Linked DNA regions of Cricetulus griseus. The protein of the gene in region 1 purifies or fractionates together with the protein of each later gene. This does not show direct contact. Links are inferred from orthologs where the notes say so. Each region holds a gene or a part of one and is shown in the gene's direction. Other genes may lie near its edges. The genes, in order: Lrch3, Myo6, Sugt1 and Dyrk1a.

Region 1 (3,566 bases):
AAAATGATGGCATAATATAAAGTAAAAACTGGGAATTCCTCTCTTGGCTCTCCTTTTACTCCTGGGAGTTAGTACTTTCTCACTATTTTTGTTTTGTTTTTCAAGATAGGGTTTCTCTGTAGCTTTGAAGCCTGTCCTGGAGCTTGCTCTGTACACCAGACTGGCCTCAAACTCATAGAGATCTGCTTGCCTCTGCCTCCTGAGTGTTGGGATTTAAAGGCGAGTGCCACCACTACCCCGAAAGCTCACATTTTCTTAATGCATTTACCTTTACAAAAAAAAAAAAAAGCTAATAAGGAAAATTCCTCATTAATGTAATAAAATATAAAAATCATATGATCATCTCAATAGAGGAGGAAAAATTGTTAATAAATTTAATAACCACTACCTATAAAAAGTCTTAGCAAACTAAGAGGGTTTTCTTAATTTTATGAAGAATCAACAAAGAAAATGGTTAAAATTAGAAACAAAAGAGATACTGTTACTTTTATTCAGCATTATGCCTGATGTTCTAACAAGCAGGGTGAGGAAATTACGTAAATAAATGGGAAGCACAGAGGAAGAAACAAAGGCTCCATTATTCATAGCTGTGTAAAGAGTCTGAAGGGATCTGTAGACAGGTTACTTGAACTAAAAGTTTACCAAGGCTGTCAGATACAAAATAACATATGACAATTATTTTACTTCTGTATGTGAGTAGCAAGTGATTAGAAGTACATCATTTATGAAATAATAGGATCTGGGAATATACCAGAAGTCTGGTACAATCCCTGAGGAAAATTGTGAGGCTGTCTTATATTCAACGCTCCATTGCCGAGGAGATGAGCTGTGTGTGCTTTTAGACTGAAGGTTCAATGCTCCTAGGATTTTCTTCCCACCTTGTTGGAATTGGGGTGATCCTGGGAAACTCAAAAAGTGTTCACCTTTTTGAGATCTAACAAGTTCATTTTAAAATACAAAGACAAATTCAAAGGACCTAGAAACCAAGTTAGCAGCTTGGGAACAGCAGGTGCATCATGATTTCTTTGGTAAAGAGTAGGACAGTTGGGCTGAGGAAATGGCTTAGAGGATAAAAGGTACATGCTGCCGAGACCTGACAAGCTGATCTGAGTCCCAAGGTGGAAGGAGAGAACCTACTCTGGGCAGTTGTCCACTGGCCTCCATGAATATGTCAGGGTAGCTTCAGTCTCTCTCTCTCTGTCTCTCTCTCTTTCTCTCTCTCAAATATCTACTTGGGAGGTGGATTTTGGGGGAGGGATCCACTTGTTTCCGATGTTATTGGAATTTAGTGATACAATTTTGATATGAATGGCCAATGTCTTAGAATATGTATTACTTATAAAGAATAATGATTTTATTTTTAGTGTGTGTAGAAAGTAAAAATGAAACATTTCCCAGCAACAGTTTAAAGACGTGTGCTTAGTGGTTTATTCACACAACTAATCAATATTTTAAAGTTTATGTTGAACCAGTTTCCACAATAAGAATTCTGGCGAATTCAAGTTACTATGAAGCATACTAATGAATTTCAGTAAAACAAGTTCCAAATTGTTTTAAGTTTTTCTGTTTTCTTTCAGACTTGTCACGAAATCGCCTCTCAGAAATTCCTATGGAAGCGTGTCACTTTGTTTCTCTGGAAAGTCTTAACCTGTACCAGAATTGTATTCGATATATCCCAGAGGCCATTCTAAACTTACAAGCTCTGACGTTCTTAAATATTAGGTAAGAATAGTATTCTTTCAGAAAAAGTGGTTTTATATGATCTTTAATTTTGAACCTCTCTGTCACTAAAATGTTTACAGTTATTTATGGTACCTGTTCACACCAGCAGTTTCTAATAGGTTCTTAGGATATTATGACAGTTTCTCCCTCGTTTCTCTTGTTTCTCCCTTTATTTTTAGCTTTGCATAGTTAACAGACCCTGCTAGCCATTAGCTTAATAGGCTTGTAGAAGTCTTGCAGCCATGGTTCTCCAGTTACATTTTCAAATTAGCTTCAAGAAAATACTACATCTGATGGACTGGGTGGGATACAGCTTAGCTGGTAAGAGCATGGTGTGCACAAGGCTCTAGGTTCAGTCCCCAGCAAAACACACTACTTTGGTGTTTTTGTTGTGTGTGCATATAATGTGAGTATTTGGGTTTGTGCTGTAACGCACATACAGAGGCAAAGGACAACTGTGTAATCACTTCTTTACTTCCACTTTTATGTGGGTTCTAGAGATTGAATTCAGCTTGCCATTCTTGTAAAAAAGTGCCTTTACCCACTGAGCCATCTTGTTGGACATTAGAAGTGCCCAGTTTATATGCCTTAAAAAAATTCCATTCCTGAGGCTAGAGAGATGACTTAGTATTTAAAAGCTTATACTGCTCTTTCGGAGAACTTGAGTTCAGTTCCTAGCATCCTAGTCAGGCAGCTCACAAATTGCTTCTCCAAGGGAATCTGGTGCCCTCTCTGGCTTCTTTGGGTGCTGTACTCAACGTGCTTAGACCCACCTCTCTAACATATGCATACATGCTTAATTAAAAATAAAAGTAAAACATAAAAAATAGAATTCATTCTGTTCAGATATTTAGTTCTAGAAGTTTTTAAAATCATGTTAAAAATAGCACTACTAGAGAAATTTGCATGTAAATGTTAACCTTTTCTTAATAAGCATGTGTAGGAATAGAATTATTATTCAATTAAAATTTTTTTTAAAGTCCATTAACTATATTATTGAACAAAAAAGATCTTGAAAATGGGGAAAGACCGTGCGTTGGTAGCCCACACCTTTAATCCCAGCACTCAGGAGGCACAAGGCAGGCAGATCTCTGAGTTCGAGGCCAGCCTGGTCTACAGAGGGAGTGCCAGGATAGGCTCCAAAAAAAGAAAAGAAAATGGGGAAAGACTTGACCCTAAAAGAATTATTATGGGGTTAAATTTACAAAGTAAACTTTAATTTGTTTTTGTACTAATGATAGTTGTGCTTTATTATTTTGTGTTTCTGATTTTCTTTTTTAATAAACAAAAATTCCTGTTATCTGTTTTAAGTTTAGTCAGCTGGGAACTGATTAAACTGACAAGAACTAAAATCTAGTATCCTATTTGTTCCTTCTAAGACTTATTTTTGTATCTAAAATGACAAAGATGGAAACTTTTTTATCAGTGGTGTCTGACTGCTCTTTCTCTACTCATTTAGTCGGAACCAACTGTCAACATTGCCAGTACACTTGTGTAATTTACCATTGAAAGTCTTAATTGCTAGTAATAACAAATTGGTCTCACTTCCTGAAGAAATTGGACATCTCAGACATTTGACGGAACTTGTAAGTTAATATTTTATTTTTTGATTGTCCAACATGTCTGCAGTCTTCTCTATGATAAAAATTGAATACTAAGATTGTTTTGAAAATAATTTTATAGCTTTGGCTTGAAATATAATTAAGTAAGTTTTAAATGTACAAGTCTTAATATCTCCACAGAAAATGGGGACATGTCATTGGTTATTTTCTAACTAGCATTAAATGATTTCTGTGTTACTAAATTTTTGAGGCATAGTTAATAATGTAGTTGAGTTTTCAAAT
Region 2 (3,566 bases), about 130 Mb from region 1:
CTGTGAGTTGGAGGCCAACCTGGTCTCCAGAGTGAGTGCCAGGATAGGCTCCAAAGCTACACAGAGAAACCCTGTCTCGAAAAACCAAAAAAAAAAAAAAAAAAAAAAAAAAAAAAAAAGACAACAGAACCTCTTTTCCCATTATTTTCCAAGTAAAATATGAAAGTTTCCCACAGGCTCAGTGCTTTCGGCTTTGTCTATAGTGCATTTCCAGAAGGAAGTAAACTCTGTTTCCTAAACTCATTTGGCAGGTTAACTTTTTAAAGAAAGTTATAATATTTAATAGAACATTTAAGAGAAATATGGCACAGAAAAGTTTGTTAATAGTAGTGTTGCACACTTGAGAATACATTTGAAATAGAGTGCTAGCCACATCCATCTTTTTTTTTTATTATTTTTAAGAAGTTAAAGAAACTTTAGACTTCCTGCCTCTGATCACTGGAATAACATATACATCAAGATTTTATGAGAATTGCTTTGTGGGAATGAATGAGTTTTTAATTTATGTCCTATTTAAACCAATATGTTTCTGTCATTTTATTTCACTCTTACACATAGTGAAAAACAAAATACAATATCGAGCTGAAGCGTGCATTAAAATGCAGAAAACGATTCGAATGTGGCTTTGCAAAAGGAGACACAAACCACGGTAAGATGAACAGTGTCTGAAGATCTATACAAATGGCTTGTTTGTGCTGTGGATTTGGAATCCGCTCATTCGTTACTTAGCTTGCTGTTCTACCACAGGGTTTGAGTGGCTGGCAGACATGTGAACACTTAAAGATTGCAATGAAAGACCGAGAGAGACTGCCATTCTGGTTACTGTATGATTTGAGTTTCTTGATAATGCCAAGTTAGATGCTGTTTTGGAAGACACCCACCAGCCTGGTGGTAATTTCAGGAATGTTCATAAAATAATCTTACTTTGCTGGTGTGTCATTTCACTGAACATATTTCATTTTCATCTTACTTAAAATTTGTATTGCCAGGTTACTTTTTAAACTTTGGAAGTTTGGATAGCTATTGACACCACACCTTTTCAAAGAAATGTTGGATCATTTGAGTTTATAATTTCAATGAATCCTCATTTTTCTGTCTAAATATAGCTGGCCTCCATGTTATTGATGGCCATCAATGCTAATCCTATGTGTATTTGATTCTTTTCATACTTAATGAGAGACCTGAACAGACTACTAAACAATATTGAAGACAGAAGTAGCCTGCCCGTGTAGCCGCAGTGTTCACTGTTTAGCAATGAGAGTCCTCCTAGAACATTAGTTTGTGAGGTAACTAGCTGATGGAGCCTTACTATTGCAGCATTGATGGCCTGGTTAAGGTGGGCACCCTGAAGAAACGACTCGATAAGTTCAATGAAGTAGTAAATGCATTGAAAGATGGGAAGCCAGAGGTGAACAGACAAATCAAAGATCTGGAAATTTCTATTGATGCTTTGATGGCCAAAATTAAGGTGGGTCATTTTCATCTAGCTAACTTGAACTTTTTATATAATTTACTGTTTCTTGTTATTGATATTGAACTTTATGCAGGAAAACACACTTACTTATTCAAGATATGAAACATTAAAAAGTAGATACCCACATTAATTTTTTCTCAATATGTAAAAAATTTTGTATTAAAAAGATAATCTTTATGTGATTTTTTGTTTGTTTGTTTGTTTTTGAGACAGGGTTTCTCTGTGGCTTTGGAGCCTGTCCTGGAACTAGCTCTTGTAGACAAGGCTGGTCTCGAACTCACAGAGATCCGCCTGCCTCTGCCTCCCGAGTGCTGGGATTAAAGGCGTGTGCGCCACCAACACCCGGCTATATGTGATTTTTTTTGTCTGTTGTTAGGCAAAATATTACCCTGTAGAGAGTAACTAAAATACTAAAACTTTGTTGTTAAGCTTTTACAGTCATTATCCAGGGAGGGTTAATGTAAATTAATTCCTTTTATGCTTTTCTACTTTCCAAAACAAATTTTTTTCTATTGTATTTATTTTTCTTTCTGGAGGTGCTGGGTCTTGAGCAAAGTTCATTGAGCATGCCCTTCTACAGAGCTACGTCCTCAGGTCCCGGAAATGAAACTACTAAATTATAAAAGTAATGTGTCAGTGTTGAAAATGGAGCGAAAGTCATCCAACACTCTTTTGTAGCAGCACACTAAGCGTTCAGATAATATGTGTTACCGTTTCCTTTATAATCATACTTTGGACGCATACATTTTTACATAGTTCTCCATCATAATTATGTGTGTCACTTTGTACCTCTGCTGTTAGGATACATGATTTGTTGTGGTTAACACATGACCTTCATAATTTACTTAGCTATTTTAAAAGTAGCACTTAGCTTTCTTCATTTTTAAAGGAGAAAGTGGAGCAATTTTAGGTTTGATTTTTCAATTGCTTGAATATCAATGTGACTAAAAATATTTTCTATAATGCTTGTTACCACATTTCATCTTTATTTCAATTTCCTCAATTATATGTTAGGGTGTTTTACAGGTTTTCTCAAGTAGCACTCAGAAGTCAATGCACTTAAATTAAGCCTTTTGTAGTTCCTGTTGACAGGTTAAATATTAGAGGTAGAAAGAAAAAAATAATGAAGAAAAGGAAGAAAATGCTACAAGTAGATTTTGATTTTACAGATCAAAGGTGAGACTGGCTTCAATCAGAATTAACCCAGGAAAATCATCCAACAGGTTTAGTTGTAATTTCCCAACATTCCTTAGGTACTAATTGAATGGTGTAAGTAAAGAAAGCAAACTGGCTAAAGGAGATAGTCATTCCTTAAAAATATTTTAAAGCTACATTTATACAGCTTTTCTCACAGCCTGCTACTGATATTGATGGCTTGTTTGAGAGGACCTAGACTCAAGTATTTATGTGTGGAGAAGATTTTCAAGGAATATGTGACTAGCTGGACACGATGGTATACACCTATAATCCTAGTGTTTGTGAGGCTCCTGAGCTCCATAGCTAGTTCAAGGATACCCTGGGCTACGGGAAACTGTTTTAAAAAAAAAAAAAAATCTTTTTTTTTTTTTTTTTTTTTTTTTTTTTTTTGAGATAGGGTTTCTCTGTGTAGCTTTGGAGCCTATCCTGGCACTCGCTCTGGAGACCAGGCTGGCCTCGAACTCAGAGAGATCCGCTTGCCTCTGCCTCCCGAGTGCTGGGATTAAAGGCATGCGCCACCAACGCCGGCAAAAAAAAAAGATATTAACATAGTTTTGTTGATCAGTTTTGCCAGCTATTTATATATATCTTAGAGGTTTTTATTATTTATTTTATTTTATTTATTTATTTATTTATTTTTTTTGTGAAAACCCCAAACCATTGAACTTATCATTGTGTCCGTTTTAAAGCGTACAGTTCGGTGGTTTAAGCATATCCACATTGTGCAGAGGAGGTGATTCTTAAGGACATGTTTGTTCTTTGGTTTTTTAAGTCCACCATGATGACAAGGGAACAAATACAGAAAGAGTATGATGCGCTAGTTAAAAGCTCGGAAGATCTCCTCAGTGCACTGCAGAAAAAGAAACAGCAAGAAGAGGAGGCAGAGAGGCTGAGG
Region 3 (4,107 bases), on another chromosome or scaffold:
TTAAAGGCGTGTGCCACCAACGCCCGGCTTCTTTTTCTTTTTTTTTTTTAGTTCAGCTAACTGTATCTTCTCACCAGCTTACCCAGAAACCTGCACCTCTTTCAGTGTAGCGGCCAGCAGGCCCTGTACAGTCTCAAAGTCTCTCTCACACCTCCATTCTTAAAGTCAGTGGATTCAGATTCCTGTGCTTGACCTGTTACCTTCCATTAACACTTGTCTTTCCCCCTCAAACCACCCATTCACTGTACAGCTGGGACACGCCTACACTTTAAACTTTTTTAGCATTCCACACCGCTATCTCTTGATGACTCGGCACGTACTTAGTTCACGTGCCCTTCCATTTCTCCAGCTTGAGCATGGGCTCACGTTTCCTTCTATTTTCAAATTCCACCCCCGTTATCTGTTGCAGCTGCAGTGATTCTTTTTAGACATCGACCACCCTCTCATTCGTTTTGTAAAACGACTTCCGGAGCTCTGAAATCAAGTCTGGGGCAGCGGGTACTTTAATTCTGTTCCTTGCTCTACTGAGCCACTCACGCCCACTCCCTCCTGTGGCCCGTTACCACTTCGCCTCAAACAACGCACAGGAAGCTTCCCAGTCTGACGTTTGGCTCTAAGGGCGGCGAGGGTGGGAGGGGAGGCCTGGCCCGTTAGTTAGCACGCGAGGCACCCCTAAGACAATTTAGGCCAAGTTTCATTCGCTCGCTGCCTGCAAAACAGGCTTTTCTTGGTTTGGAAGGCCGAGCAGGAAGGAAGTTTGGGGTGTGGAGCGCTAGGATCCGGCAGCGCCTGCGGAAAACCCCGTTCTCCCCGTCCGTAAAGCCACTTCCGGCGAGCCGGCCTGTCGGAGCTCCCCGCTGACGGTCGTACGAACCGACGCGCCATAGCCGGCTCCGCGGCCGGAAGAAGACCTGGCAGCGACGGATGACGTCACGCACAGCTTGGCCGCCCGCGGCAGCCATGTTGAAAACCAGAGAAAACGGTGCTTAACGTGGCGCACCTTAGCGGAGCCGCGAACTCCCCCGACGGGTCCCGGCGCCTGGCAGCGCCGCTTGGAGACCACGCTAGAGCTCCCGCAAGCCCTGCGGAACCCCTACGGGCGGACGGCGGGGCGCCGGCGCCATGACCACGCCCCCGGGGCGGGACCTGGCGCGCGTCACCGACACGGGGCGGGGCCGGGGAGCGTGTCCTCCTCGTTCCCAGCGGGCCCCGCGCCCATCTGCCCGCCCTCCGCTTCCTTTTCCGCGGCCGCATGCTGCGCGGCTGCTGATTGGCTGCCGAGGACGGAAGCTCTGTTGGTGTGTCTTCAGAAGTTTCCCCCCCCTGGGCCGCGGCAGAGGTGGTAACCAAGGTAGAAAACGCTCGGGCCGAAGCTTTAGTGGCTCTTAGGGATGGCGGCACCTGCAGCAGGATCTGCAACGTCCCAGCGGTGCGTATTTTTCCTCCCCTTTGCTGTGTGTCTTGCTGTTCTTTCCTTGGTTAGTGAGCCCTGCTGAAGTCGTTGTTTTCCTGGCAGGTTTTCCCAGAGCTTCTCAGATGCTCTGATCGACGAGGACCCCCAGGCGGCGTTAGAGGTGAGTGAGTTCATTTCTGCTCCGTTCGCACTGGGATTGTTGGGTTCCTACCGACTCCGCTGCTTCCCAGCATTACCTTCGTGGGACTAAAGCTACAATTTTCAGTGTGTCTCAGGCCCAGTATTATGGTCGTGAGATCCATTTCTTTGTCCCCCAGCGACCCTTTTGCCATAGATCTTGCCTTTATACTCCCCAGACGCAGGCACATAGTTGCCACCTGTGGTTGGCCTGAAACGACTTCATTTATTGGCGTTTATGGTCAAGGAAAAGGCGAAGATAGGGCTTAATGTAGCATTTTTTTAGTTTTGACAGTTATGGTTGCCCAGGTACTGTTACGAGTACTTGATTGACTAAGTTTACTAAAGAACATTTACTTTAAAGATGGTTGTCCTTGTTCTTCGTACAGTTTAAAAAAGAAACGCGTTTATATATACCTATGCTGTCCTTAAACTTTGGATCCTGTGATTTCTTGAGATGCACCACTAAGCCCCGCCTTTTTTTATTTTTTAAAAACTTTTTGTTTGTTATGTATACAGTATTCTGCCTACATGTATGCCTGCAGGCCAGAAGAGGACACCACACCTCATTTCAGATGGTTGTGAGCCACCATGTGGTTGCTGGGAATTGAACTGGGACCTTTGAGAGAACAGGCAGTGAGTGCTCTTACTGATGAGCCATCTCTCCAGCCCATGCCCTGCCTAAATTTTTATAATGTTGTATGAGTTGTTTCTGGGCTATTTTTGGTGAATTCTAGAACAAACTATCTTTGTACGGATGTTGCTAAGAGCAGTGGCCAGGCTGGAGAGAGTCGTTAGCATATGTCAGTATGGTGGGGAAGGCCCTGTAATCCCAGTACTCAGGAGGAATGTACAGGGGTCAGAAATTCAAGGTCATCCTCAGCGACATAGTGAGTTGAGGCTATGAGTTGGATGTGTGAAACCCTGCCTGACCTTCAGAGCTCAAGAATCTTGCTAGGAAGGGGGAAACATTTTTACATCCCGAGACTTAAAGAAACCGCTTTTCCAGAGGCTAGCAGACTAGTAGAACTATATAGTTGTTTGAAAGTTTCAAGTTTGGTTTTGTATTGTTAGGTTCACCGAGTGATCATCAGGTGAAACAGATAATTCGGTTCCAAAACAAGGGATTAGCAAACTGGGTGGTAGTGGTGCATGCCTTTAATCCCAGCTTTTGGGAAGGACAGACTGGAAAGAGAGATCTCTGTGAGTTCAAGTACAGCCAGGACTATGCAGGGAAATTCTGTCTGGAAAAACAAAACAAAACCAAACAAAAAGGCATTAATGACTTTGAGATTTAAGACTGGAAGCAAAATTTCTTTTCTGACAAAGGAAATAAATGAGAATATGGGGAGGACCGAGAACGGAAGAAATGATTGGGTGTTGGGTACAGATCTAGGCTGCCCCCAAAGTCCTAGGGTCATCGACAGATGCTGCTCCTTCCTGTGTATTCCATGTAATATTCTATAACTTCAGTGGCTTCCACACATTCTGGACTTATGTGTTAGTTTTTTCTGTTTGAATAAAAATGGGTAAAGAAATCAAAATAGATGCTCGTGTGTGAAAAGGGGGAGAAAGTTCATTCTAAACTGCCAAGGCAAAGCAGAGAAATAAGGGGTGTGTGTGTATGTGTGTAGGGGAATCTCCTGAATTTTGTGGGAATGGGTACTTGGGAGGAAGGGAGCCTGTGAGCTGGGGGGGGGGTGCTTGTAAGTAGGGAGTGAGGGAGCCTAGCGTTGACCTTGACATGCTAACTGGTGCCACATATGTCCCTTTCCCAGAGATACACAGAATAACTACTTTTAGCATGTAGGAAGCCTCTGAGGGAATGCTATCTTTTGTCTAAATGCCAGCTTTGGGGAAAGATATTTCTTTGGGGACCTGATACTGTTTCTGATCATCTTTATTTTACTGTATTAATGATACAGTAGCCAGAATGACAACTTTAAAATATAAGTTGGGTCATGTCACTTGTACTAAAACTTTCCATGACCTTCCCTCACACTGAAGGTCCAAATTCCTTATAATGGCTGGCAGGGTCTCTGGTGAGCTGGACTCTATAGAGCTGTACTGTTGCAAGTGCTTCTAACTCAGGTCTACTTCTTTTTCCCAAAAATATACTTGACCTATATCTCATTTTTTACCTGGGAAGGTTTATTTCTTTAGAATTCACCTCAAGTGAACCCTGCTCAGAGGAACTAGCTTTCCTGTGTAAATCTGAATTAGGCATGAAAGTAGTTTCGAAGCCCAGTGTTGGTTGTCCACACCTTTAATCCCAGCACTCAGGAGGCAGAGGCAGGTGGATCTCTGTGAGTTTGAGACCAGCCTGGTCTCCAGAGTGAGTGCCAGGATAGGTTCCAAAGCCACAGAGAAACCCTGTCTTGGAAAAACCAACAACAACAACAAAAAAAAGTAGGAGTTTTGTGTATCTTGATTACTCCTCTGTTCTCAGTGTAGCACTTGGTACTCGTGATGGGCAAGCTCTTCTGCATGATTCTTGCAACGTTTGCTGATGGCAT
Region 4 (3,566 bases), about 53 Mb from region 1:
TCCTTATCTGAGGGTGCTGGGACTCCAAGCACTTCGATTTCAGTTCTTTTAGATTTTGCTGTAGCTGTTCACTTTTTACCAGTTGAATGTCCCTAATCTGAAATTGTTAAATGCTCTCATTTCAAGTGTTTCATACCAGAGTAAGGATGTTCAACCTGCATTTTCTTTTGTGAGATTATCTTCCAGTTTTGTCCTCCCCTACTGGATTTTCAGGACTTTTCATTCCCATGTAACTTTTATTAAATAAGAACTTAACATTTTGTGCTAAACTAGTGGTAGAGACAGCTTTTGCCTTTTCAGAGGTTACATTGACACAAGTAAGCAGCAAAACACAAAAATGGCAAGTGATACTTACAGAAAGGGAAAGTCTAGAGGTGTGCGCCTCTGGGGAGTTACCTTCATGGTGGTGGCAAAGCCCTGGGCAGTGCAGACTCCAGTGCAGGCAGCCAAGGCTCGTGAGGTATAGTGACTAACAGACTAACTGCACACTATCTGAGTAAATCTGAGAGGATGCAAGAGTTTTCCCTCCTTGAGTGTAACAGAGAAGCAGCTGATGCAGTGTCCAGAGCACTGCTGTGTCGCCCCCGTGTGACTCCACGTGCCCTCAGGTCAGCTGCCCAGGCCATGGTGCCCAGCAGACAGACCTAACTGCACTAGATACAGTGAGTGACATCTAAAGTCACGCTCATTTCAGCCACAGTTGTGCTGATGGCTGTGCCCAGCATGAAGGGGGCTGGAGAGTCCGGTACAGTCATGTTGTACATAGAGGGGCACATCAGTAGCCTGGCCACAGAGGGCTGGGGCAGCATGAGTCAGAACATCCGGGAACTCAGGAACTGACATGGCGATTTTAAAAGGGGAATGTAAGCAAAGATTAGAAATAAACGTGCTCTTGATGGGAGAAAGCAGCAAGTGCAGATGCCATGAGTCTCAGGTCAGGTCAGGGTGAGAAGGGTCTGGGGAGATTGGGATCCAAGTCCGTAAAGGAATGAGTTGATTTTTGTTTTGAAAGGATAGTCTTGCTTTTCTCAATGGGTTGAGAAGAACAACTGTGGAAGCGGGGGGGCGGGGGGGGGTGTTAAATTTTTTATTTTGTGAAGAGGCCTTTGCATTAGCCTAGGCTAAGTGGTAGTGGTGATGGCGGTAAGAAAAGTGGTCAGATTTGGGATCTGGTCTGAGGTATCTCTTTGGTACTTCATGCTGGGTTGAGTCCGGAGGAATTGTCAGACATCTGGGTGGATACGAGTCCTTTTATTGTATCAAGAGATCTGGAAGGAAGAGGGACTTCAAGGGGAAATGAAGGCTCTCATGGACCTGCCAGATGTCCTGGTGGTTCCTTATAGAAAGCTTACTGACCTGGTGTAGACGGTGACATGGAGACCTGGACATGAGTGTAACTTCTTAAAATTGGCTGATTTTAATTGTAAAACATTTTTTGCTCTGGAATTTACATAGAATTTTATGGTATAGAACTATCTAGTGTGTTAAAAGCTTCAACAACCCCCACCGCCACCAACCCCAAGTTCACCCACCTGAGTGCAGATGCTCAGGTGTAGGTTAAGCTTGGAAGCAGTGCTGAATAACCCTTCCTTAATGTCTTCCCTCACAGGTGCGCCAGCCATTCCCGGCTCCTCTGGGCTGGTCAGGCACTGAAGCTCCTACACAAGTCACTGTTGAAACTCATCCTGTTCAAGAAACAACCTTTCATGTAGGCCCTCCGCAAAACGCATTGCATCATCACCATGGAAACAGCTCCCATCATCACCACCACCACCACCACCACCACCACCACCATGGACAGCAAGCCTTGGGTAACCGGACCAGGCCAAGGGTCTACAATTCTCCAACAAATAGCTCTTCTACCCAGGATTCTATGGAGGTTGGCCATAGCCACCACTCCATGACATCCCTGTCTTCCTCAACGACTTCTTCCTCCACATCTTCCTCCTCTACTGGTAATCAAGGCAACCAGGCCTATCAGAACCGCCCAGTGGCTGCTAACGCCTTGGACTTTGGACAGAATGGAGCTATGGACGTTAACTTAACCGTCTACTCCAATCCCCGCCAAGAGACTGGCATAGCTGGACATCCAACATACCAATTTTCCGCTAACACAGGCCCTGCACATTACATGACTGAAGGACACCTGACGATGAGGCAGGGGGCTGATAGAGAAGAGTCTCCCATGACAGGAGTTTGTGTGCAGCAGAGTCCTGTAGCTAGCTCGTGACTACATTGAAACTTGAGTTTGTTTCTTGTGTGTTTTTATAGAAGTGGTGTTTTTCCCAAAAACAAAGTGCAAAGCTGCTTGAATCAGAAGGAGATTAACACACTGAACCGCTACAAGAGGGCAAAGCTGACTTTTTTAACTTGAAAAGATTGCAAAGGGACAGAGAAGTTTTTCAGAGCCATGTCCACCTGTCTTCATGGAGAGCTCCCAGGTGCCCTCTTTTTGTCCCCCCTTTTAACCTGCCATCTCCCGGTCATAGTGGGTTTGTCTTTCTATCCAACAAAAGTTAAATGTTCAGATGTTGGTCTTGGTCATTTGCCAACTAATTTTAAAATAAAAAGGCACTGCACATAATTTGCATAAAGGGCCCCATAAGGGTGTTTTGTTTTTTTGGTTTTTTTTTTTTTTTTTCATTTTTATTTTTCTCCTTTTCCCCATGTTTTGTTTTGTTTGGGGTTGGGGTGGGCTGGGAAATAAGGGTTTTTATGTCCTCTATACACTTGGGCACGGAAATGCAGTACTGTAAGGAAGAGGGACCTCCAGCTCACACAAACACCATCTTCAGCTATGTGAAAGGGACGATTGTGTTGGAGTTTGTAAGGCACATTAAGCATGCTAAGTGGCGGGGACCAGGACTCTCCTATCTGAACCCACCGAGGAGCGAAGCAGCAATCCCATGGGATCCTGTGGGTCTCCTTCCTGTTGGAGAGGCCCCGGGAAGATGGGAATGGAACAGGACTGGTCTCCTCAGCAAGGTGCACTGAGAAGCAACACCGCGCGGGTCAGTTGTGGCCAGTCCTGGGGAGGTCTGAGTGGTGGTCTTTGGGATGACCTTTGGCCTTATGGATTTGGACTCGAAGTTAGAAGAGCCTACCATTTCAGATACAATCACTTGTGGACATGCGTTTGCAGACAGTCCTTAACCCTGAAAACACAGAGAATGGGTAATTCAAGAGGCCTTTCTTTTAAAATAGACTTTTGTGACCCACTAATTGTAAGGTATTGCAAGGTCACTTTGCGTGTGTCATAAAGCTGACCCCTTATTGGTTGAAGGCCACAGATGTAGTGGTTTGCTTTGATGGAAATAGCTACAGCTGTGCCCTTCCTGCTTTTTACCTTTTCTTTGGCTTTTTCTCGGCACGTGGTGTCTTCACCATTTCTTCTGCACAAAGACGTCTTCTGTTCATCCTGAACATTTTAAAATGCAGAATTTTATGTGACTGCTTTTTTGCCTCACAATTATGCTGTGAATTTTACAAAAATTTATTTTCTTTTTTGATAATTTATTGTACCAAAGCTGTTTTTATAGCACATAGATGTCTGTAACCAATAATGT

The links.
Region 2: the proteins of Lrch3 (region 1) and Myo6 purify together in Homo sapiens (co-immunoprecipitation; 3 studies listed by BioGRID and IntAct, with this or other methods). This does not show direct contact. The link is inferred for Cricetulus griseus from reciprocal best matches to the Homo sapiens genes LRCH3 and MYO6.
Region 3: the proteins of Lrch3 (region 1) and Sugt1 purify together in Homo sapiens (co-immunoprecipitation; 3 studies listed by BioGRID and IntAct, counting the BioPlex papers as one, with this or other methods). This does not show direct contact. The link is inferred for Cricetulus griseus from reciprocal best matches to the Homo sapiens genes LRCH3 and SUGT1.
Region 4: the proteins of Lrch3 (region 1) and Dyrk1a purify together in Homo sapiens (affinity purification with mass spectrometry; 3 studies listed by BioGRID and IntAct, counting the BioPlex papers as one, with this or other methods). This does not show direct contact. The link is inferred for Cricetulus griseus from reciprocal best matches to the Homo sapiens genes LRCH3 and DYRK1A.

What each region holds. Positions count from the first base shown.
Region 1 is NC_048597.1:56,585,890-56,589,455, reverse strand, and holds part of Lrch3 (DISP complex protein LRCH3), read left to right. Parts: intron 1-1,577; coding exon 1,578-1,722; intron 1,723-3,181; coding exon 3,182-3,308; intron 3,309-3,566. UniProt on the Homo sapiens protein: As part of the DISP complex, may regulate the association of septins with actin and thereby regulate the actin cytoskeleton.
Region 2 is NC_048597.1:191,195,270-191,198,835, forward strand, and holds part of Myo6 (unconventional myosin-VI), read left to right. Parts: intron 1-558; coding exon 559-649; intron 650-1,317; coding exon 1,318-1,468; intron 1,469-3,443; coding exon 3,444-3,566. UniProt on the Homo sapiens protein: Myosins are actin-based motor molecules with ATPase activity. Unconventional myosins serve in intracellular movements. Myosin 6 is a reverse-direction motor protein that moves towards the minus-end of actin filaments.
Region 3 is NW_023276807.1:233,937,784-233,941,890, forward strand, and holds the start of Sugt1 (protein SGT1 homolog), read left to right. Parts: upstream 1-1,267; 5' UTR 1,268-1,391; coding exon 1,392-1,429; intron 1,430-1,516; coding exon 1,517-1,574; intron 1,575-4,107. UniProt on the Homo sapiens protein: May play a role in ubiquitination and subsequent proteasomal degradation of target proteins.
Region 4 is NC_048597.1:3,174,655-3,178,220, reverse strand, and holds part of Dyrk1a (dual specificity tyrosine-phosphorylation-regulated kinase 1A), read left to right. Parts: intron 1-1,609; coding exon 1,610-2,230; 3' UTR 2,231-3,566. UniProt on the Homo sapiens protein: Dual-specificity kinase which possesses both serine/threonine and tyrosine kinase activities. Exhibits a substrate preference for proline at position P+1 and arginine at position P-3.